Linked DNA regions of Ovis aries. The protein of the gene in region 2 binds, or shares a complex with, the protein of the main gene of each other region. Links are inferred from orthologs where the notes say so. Each region holds a gene or a part of one and is shown on either strand. Other genes may lie near its edges.

Region 1 (3,815 bases), on a different chromosome or scaffold from region 2:
CCAGGAATACCAGCAGCCCTTCTCTGCTCTCACCCAGGGGTCTTTGGGAAATTGGGAGGGAGGGAGCCCTAGCTCCAAGCTGGTACATGGGGCTGAGGGGAGGGGCCCTCTGCTAGTATCCCCAATCCCAGGGTGGAGATGGGGGTTCTTACCTCCTGGATGTTCACCTGGATTTGTCCAGTGCCATCTTTGTCAAGAGATTTGAAGGCACCTGGGGAAAGGAAGGGTTGGTGGGACTGGCTTTTAGGATTAAAATATACTAATATATGATAATACTAACAGCTAGTAGTCTGTCTACTCTGGCAAGCACCTGTATAAAGTGCTTTCCGTGTATGAATTCATTTAACCCAATTTTGGGAGGTAAGTGTCATTTTAAAATAAGGCACAGAAAGGTGAAGTGATGTCCCTGTGTTACATAGAGAAAAAGGAAACTGGGATTGGAACCCAGACTGCTACTCATCTCAATAATGGCCTCCATATCTTGACCTTCACGCCCCTCATCACCCTCTGCCCAAGCCCCAGCCCCCTACCAACCTCCAGTTCCAGCTAAAACAATCTACTGGAAGGAGGCTCTGCATTTCCTGCTCCTACAGTCTGTTGTGGTCCCCACTCCTGCCCTGAAACTCATCTCCATGTTCCCCACTCACAGCCAAACCTGTATGTAAACAGGTGCCCACAGTCTGTGTGGCTCTCTCTCACTCACGGCTCAATTACCACCCTTGGGGGTCCACGCGTGTGGTACCCTGGACACTCCATGTGCAGCTAGCCCTCTTGCTGGTAAACCCCAGGCCATTTCTTGACCCTCTCATACATGGCTTTTGGCATCATCTGCCCTGTTGTCCTCTCCCACCTTCCCTTCATGTCCCCAACATACATGCCCCTTTTCTTCCCTGCATGCTCTTAATATACTGTCCGCCCTGGGCTCTTGGCATGCCAGGAGATCTTCCTAAAGGAAACCTGAGACCCTGTTCTTCCCCTGCCTAGACCCTGTTCACTGTCCGCATTAGTGTCTGAGCACCTTCAAACTTGGCATTCACAGCCCTGCATGGCCTGACCATCCCACTGCTCCTGCCCCCTCTCAGACAAATCTGCATTCAAATTCTAGCTTTGCAACTTCTAGCTAAGTGGCTGTGAGCAAGAAATTCGCCTCCTCAAACCCTAGGTTCCTCCTCCATGAAATAAATACTCTAACCATCACCGAGATCACCATCTCCTCTTTCCTTTCTAGGCCTTCACACAGGCTGTTCCCAATGCAACACTGCTCCCCACTCGCTTGCTGGGGTCACTTCTTACCCACCAGGTCTCAATTCACACATGCCCTCCCTCCTCCAGGAAGGCCTCCTTGATCACTTAAGCTACATCAGCTGCCTAGTTAAGTTTGAAGAGCTCCCAGTTACAAGTCTAAACCTGATCTACCCTGACCTTCCCCTCACAGCCCCCATCACTCTGCAAAGGCTTCCCCGATCCCAGACTTAACCATCCCGAGCTGCCACTGTCTGGTAATTTGCCTCTCCTGTGGACTGTGAGCAACATAAAGGCAAGAACATGGGCTGTTTCAGTCACTGCTGTGCCCCTAACACTGCCTACCTCAGTGTCAGGCTCAAAGGAGGCTTGGCCCAAGGAGGCTTGACAAATCCCCACCTGGGAAGAGAGCTGGGGTGTCACTTACGGAACATGGCATCCAGTCTGACCAGGCAACTGATGAAATTGTCAAAATCCATGTTCCCTCCCTCATCTGAGTAGCGTCGGATGATCATGTTGTAGAGATGTTCATTCAGGTGGAATCCTGAGAACGATTTAGTTAACAGGTGTGGGGGCCACATAGCCGAACCCTCTCCCAGCCCCAGGATTCAGGCTCAGACCAGATCAGTGGAGGCTGCCTCACCATTCCCACCCCCAGTCCCACCATGTTCCTGCCAGCCACACCTGCTGCCTCAAAGGCCCCTGGGAGTTCACTGCTGCCAATGGTCCCTGAACGGTCAACATCAAACTGTTTGTATATGGCCTGTGGGGACAAGGAGGTCAGGATTCAGCTGGGCCTCATGGGGCGTGGCATTTCCAAGGCTTGGGGCACTGTCTTTGTGTCAGTCGTTTCAGAGGCCGAACACACCTGCCACTTTTTGATGTTGTTCCACAAGTACTTGAATTCTTCAAAGCCCAGTTTACCAGTCGTATCACTCTGGTGGGAGGGTGTTAAGAATAGCCATACCCAGAAGTGTGGACAGTGTACATGATGATGGTAAGGGCCAAGCAGGGGAGCCTGGGCTAAAACCCCAGCTCCCATCCCACCCTCGTCCTGTCACCTTGTGTGTGGCTTCATTGTTCTTTTTGCCCATAGGCACTTTAGTTTGTATTTCTAAATGATAAAGACTCTCTTTACACATAATCACATGAAATCCTCATTTATAACATTCTTTGATAGTAATTCAAACTTACAAATGTTAGGACATGTAAAACACCAGGGTATCTTAGAACTCTAGGGAAATGAGGTGATAAGAGTAAATACCTGACGTACTTGTGATAAAAAGTGAAGGAGATATTGGTATAAAGCCCTCACTCAGCTCAGGGCTGGCACTTGATAAATTCTCAGTAAACAGCAACAATGGCCAAGACTTACCACATGACTTCAGATAGTGCTAAACTTCTCAGGAACATCACTTGTCTCACTAAATCCTCAAGATCCCAGCCCCATCAGTATTGTATCTGGGTGACAGAGAAACAGCTTCAGAGCTGAAAAATCTACCCAGGTGAGATCATAGTAACAGTTAGTGTGTGGAGACCACTTACTCTGTGCTACCCACTGTGCTAAGCCTTTTGCATGAAACGCCAATTTGGTATCACCATTATCATTCACCCAATTTTATCAAGAGGTAAACTGAGGCACAGAGAGGTTCAGTAACCTTGCTAGGAGGCTGAGCTGCATTTGTTTCACCCTAGACAACACATATATGTCATCACATGACATGCATATATGTGTGTGTCTATAATGCTTTGTGCATGCAGTATGTGTCTGTGTCCAAAATCAGTGAATGATGTGTGTTCCCATGCACACGCCTCTACATATCTTCATGTATGTGGGTGTGCCCTTATATATGTGTGTGTGCATGTGGGCAAACCTATGGCAGTTACAAGGTGGGGTTATAAGGTTATAAGGTCCGTTGAATGATTGCCTCTCTAGGTCCTGCCTGGTTTCTTCATCTGTAAAATGGAATATAATAATCATACCTGTCCCACAAGGTGGCTGTCAAGTAAATGTAAGTAAAGTGCCAGTCATGACAGCTGATGTTATTATGTGTTGCCACATGTCCATAGGTGGGTGTGTGTTCTAATGTATACGTGTCCACATCTGTGGGTATGAAAGCTACACCCTGACTGCCCCAGCCACTCTCGCAGAAAATCCCTTCTTGGGAATTCCCTGGAAGTCCAGTGGTTAGGACTCCCTACTCTGTCAGGGCCCCAGTTTAATCCCTGGTTGGGGAATGAAGATCCCACAAACCACGCAGCATGGCCAAAGAAAATTCCCTCATCCTCAAGTTCTCCACCAGACTACTCTCAAGGATACATCCATTACAGCCACCATGCTTCGACATGTGTCAACACCAAAGCCATCAGTCTTCAGATCAGGATCTGTGGGATACAGGTTGAAGGTCAGAGGCCAGAGATCACAACTACCCCAGCCACCATGCCTCCAAACCTGCCCTGTCTGCTAACCCCGGTCACTCACGTCGGGTCACCACTTTGTTGAGAATATTCATGAGTTCTGTGGCGCTGACCTCCATGTCCTGGGGGGAGAAGTTAGGAATGGGGCAGGGGTG
Region 2 (3,815 bases):
TCGCTTGTGCTGAGTAACCGTGGCCTTTAAAGACACACACCGCCACTGTGCATCTCACCAGCTCAGTGAGGCCTAACTGTGGGCCTGTTAAGTGCTTCACGTATCTCAGTGCATCCCAACAACCTGGTAAGGTGGATGGCTAATCAGTTTTACTGACGAAGAAACGGAAGTTCAGAGAGGACAGGTAAATTGTCCAAGGTCACACAGCCTGCAAGTGGCAGAGCTGGGAACGGGCTCCAGGTCTCTTGCTATGTCTCCCCATCTCCTTGTAACACCACTTGTAGGGCTCATCATTTCTCTTTAGGCCAGTTTTTTTTTTTGTTTGTTTTGGTCATGCCATGAGGCAGGTGGGGCCTTAGTTCCTTGACCAGGGATTGAACTTGCGCCCCTGCACTGGCAGTGCAGAGTTCTAACCACTGGAAAGCGAGGGATATCGCTCTAGCCTATTTCAGGAGCATTACAGGACTCTGAGAAGAGTCTCCCACAGTCCCAGGACCAACGAACCTCCACCCAGGACTAAATGTGCCTGACTCTGCCGGCCTCAGGGAGAAAGTACGTTCCATGGGGACTGCCCTGGACCCCACCCCATGTGCTTAGACCCTGAGACCTAGGACCTGAGCAACCTCACCAGGGCTCAGGGGGCGGGGGTGGGTATTCACTCTTCATAGACACGAGCCCCTGCCCAGGCTTCACGAGACCCCAGAGCCAGTAGTCTAAGCCTCTTCCTTGTTGGTGAACCTGAGCCCCAAGGATGTGGGCTGTCGTGTGCCAGACGTACCTCCTCTGGAACCTGCAAATAAAGGAAAGCATGTGTAATTCAGACTCTGGAAGAGCTCCGTGAAGAAATGTCACCACTGAGATTGTTTCCTTTGTTACCCTACTCCTTCTGTAGCCTTAGCAATAATAACAAGTCATCAAAATAATTATTTTCCAAGGAACTCAAAGCATTCTCACATTTTAAAAAATTTTTAAAAAATTCTTAGGACTTGGCAAGAATGAGGATGAGCCCTTATCACCATTCCTAACTTACAGAGCATGAAACCAAGGCTTGGAGCTGTGAAGTGGCTGTCTATGGTTACCCAGCTGCCTGCAGCAAAGCCTACACCCGGCCTCCCCCCAGGAAAAACAGAGCTGAGCTGCTTGAAGAAGCAGCAGGGTGTGCTCTGGCCTAGAGCCAGCAGGTGTCAGTTCTAGGTTCCTGTTGGCCACCTCCATCTGTATTTCCTCAAGTAACTCACTTCCCTTCTCTGGCCTCAGTTTCCTTATCTCTAAAATGGGATCAAATGATCCCCCAGGTCCTTCTCAGATTGCAGCCTATGGCTAGATTTCCTAGCCTGTGAGTGGTGGGGGTAGGGTGGGATGGGTGTCACAATTCAGTCTGCATTTTTCTGGCGGTTATTCTGTCCCAGCTCTGAAGTCCTCAGCTCCTACTTCAGAGACTGAGGAGCTTGGAATTGTGTGCATTTTTAGCAAAGATGGTGTTTGCCCAACTCCACTTGTTTGTGGGTGAGAAGGTAGATCACGGCCCTGATAAGCGAAGTGAGTGGAGAGCCTTCTCTCTGACACTGTGCCTGACTCCCATGTGCTGTGCTGGGAGCCCAGCTCTCAGGGTATGGTGGGAACCCTAATTTGCAATATTTGCTAATTCCTAAGTGTAAATACTGCCCACTCCTTGCCAAGGTCATTTTTGGGCTGCCAACGAGACTTCACTGAAAGGTGGGGCCAGAGAGAGTGGGCCAGCTCCAGCACATCACCAGGGCCCCCCATCACACCGATCTGCACCCGACTTCAGTGGCTCTGAAGTCCTCCTTTCACCCCTCTTCTCCCACTGCTCACCCCAGGCTGGGAGAAGCTCTTCTCTGTGCTGTAGAAAGGAGTGGGGAGGGGACCCAGTAGTGGCAATGACGTGGCTGCTCTGACTGTGGCTGAGCTGGGCTTTGGTTTATTTTGTAAAGCTCCAGAAGAAAGGACATGGGGCCGTCACCGTGCCTGTGTGGGGGCCGGGCTCCACCTGCGGAGCCCTGGTTGGAACCTATGACCAGCTAACTACTCCCCTCCCCAGCGCTCTGCCATCAGAGCGGACACTGTGGACTCGGACCAGAGAGGCACCTGCTGGCTCATTTCTCGTCCTCACGCTGGTGCCCGGTGTGGTTCCATATGCTCTGTCCTCAGTTCACATCTATTCAATTTACTGGAGGTTGATGACCAACCAGAGTGCCAGGCCTGGGGATGTGAGAAGGGCTACAGAGGCCATTTGATACCGTGGGACCTCCGGAAGCTGGCTGCAGGGAAAGGGGGGCCTCCAGTGACACAGACCAACTGCAGGGACCTCCCTGCATGACTTCTCCTAAGACTGGCCTGGACCCTGGCTTTGGTTTCCTTTGGCCAAGCTTCTGGTTTAGGGCCTCCTCCCCAGGTCTGCCTCTGGGGTTGGCAGAGGCTAAGAGCTGAGACCCAAGGGAAAGCGGAGCCCCGCCCCGCCCCTCCCATGGATGCCCCGCCCCCATACCTCATAGATGCCGAAGCCAATGGTGTGCATGTCCTCGCCCATCTTTCTCTGCCGCCGGCGGTGCTTCTGGATGAGGCCCACCAGGAAGGTGCAGCCGCTCTCCCCGTCCTCCTGATCCTCGTCCTCTTCCTCCAGCTTGATCAGGTACTGAGGGTTCATCCAGAACGTGTCTGCAGACAGAGAGGGCCGGGGTCAGTCACCCAACACACAACACACGGGATCCCAGCCCGGCAGGTGTGCATGGGGGGAGGAGGCTGCTGCGAGTGGGGTGAGGGTCGGGGGGAGATGGCAGAGGAACCAGAGACCAGGGCTGGAGGAGGGGGTGCATTTCTCACCCCGGAACAGGGTGGTCAGAGCTGAGGCCCAGATCTCCTTTGGCTCAGCTGTGACATCCCCTGCTTTATCCTCCCCTCACTAGGCTCTCACTCGGGGGTCAGAGATGGCTTGGACGGCATGGCTAGGGAGACTTGGGGACTAGCTCTGAAGCCCCCTCAATGAACTAAAGGCCACGAACATCCAGTGCACAATCTCAGCCTCTTGTTCTGTGTCCCTGTCCTCCTGGGCCTGTGCCCTTGCCCACTCCCATGGTGCTGGAAGGAGCTGAGATTCATTCATTTAAGGATAATTAATATGATTGCCTCCTCTTCCTTGATGGGATAATACTTGGATTCTGGAAATAAAGGCATCATCTATTATGTGTTAGTCACTCAGTCGTGTCTGACTCTTTGCGACCCCATGGACTATAGGTTGCCAGAATCCTCTGTCCATGGGATTCTCTAGGCAAGAGTACTGGAATGGCTTGTCATTGCCCTCTCCAACATCTAGTATTGGGCTTGGCAAACTATGGCTCTATGAGCTGCTAGTGCTTAAAGGCTGACTGCTTGGGTTCTTAACCCCAGGCACAGTCAAGGCTGTGGGGCCTGTGGGCAAGTCATTTAACTTCACCAAGTCCCCTCATCTTAAAGATGGAGATGATAAAGTGCCCGCCCCAGAAGTCTGCTGTGAAGACTAGCACCCAATGTGTATTCCGCAATCGGCAGATGTCATCGTGATGAGACAGTTTCTGAGGTAGAGAGGGCAGGGGAGGACTGGGTCATCGAGGCAGAAGAGTCAAGGGAATCAACAAAGGATGAACCAGGAGAGGAATCCTCACTGCCCCCTCTTCTGAGTAGGGCCCCATCAGCATTGGCTGAGTGAACTGGGCACTAAAGTTTTGCCAGGCAACAACCAGGGCCTGGATGTGCAGAGACCCAGTGGGTGAGAACCTCTGCTGGGCTAAGCTGCTTGGGTTTTGGGTGGATAAAGT

Evidence for each region.
Region 1: the proteins of CAPN2 (region 2) and CAPNS1 are in contact, whole or in part, in a crystal structure (PDB 1KFU), measured with the Homo sapiens proteins. The link is inferred for Ovis aries from reciprocal best matches to the Homo sapiens genes CAPN2 and CAPNS1. Residues at the interface, in NP_001739.3 of Homo sapiens: Ala2, Gly3, Ile4, Ala5, Lys7, Leu8, Ala9, Arg12, Glu13, Glu16, Phe60, Arg366, Arg416, Arg417, Arg418, Arg420, Asp494, Ile516, Phe551, Glu575, Lys578, Val581, Asp582, Asp585, Gly588, Ser589, Gly590, Gln641, Leu642, Gln644; in NP_001003962.1 of Homo sapiens: Thr85, His86, Ser88, Asp111, Asp112, Met113, Glu114, Ser116, Thr118, Asp142, Arg145, Ser146, Ala149, Val150, Met151, Asp152, Ser153, Asp154, Thr155, Thr156, Gly157, Gly160, Phe161, Glu163, Asn206, His208, Leu209, Met212, Ile213, Arg215.

The regions. Positions count from the first base shown.
Region 1 is NC_056067.1:46,107,551-46,111,365, reverse strand, and holds part of CAPNS1 (calpain small subunit 1), read right to left. Parts: intron 3,783-3,815; coding exon 3,725-3,782; intron 3,628-3,724; coding exon 3,563-3,627; intron 2,180-3,562; coding exon 2,111-2,179; intron 2,006-2,110; coding exon 1,927-2,005; intron 1,787-1,926; coding exon 1,670-1,786; intron 212-1,669; coding exon 153-211; intron 1-152. UniProt on the Homo sapiens protein: Regulatory subunit of the calcium-regulated non-lysosomal thiol-protease which catalyzes limited proteolysis of substrates involved in cytoskeletal remodeling and signal transduction. Essential for embryonic development.
Region 2 is NC_056065.1:26,355,765-26,359,579, reverse strand, and holds part of CAPN2 (calpain-2 catalytic subunit), read right to left. Parts: intron 2,680-3,815; coding exon 2,510-2,679; intron 791-2,509; coding exon 779-790; intron 1-778. UniProt on the Homo sapiens protein: Calcium-regulated non-lysosomal thiol-protease which catalyzes limited proteolysis of substrates involved in cytoskeletal remodeling and signal transduction. Proteolytically cleaves MYOC at 'Arg-226'.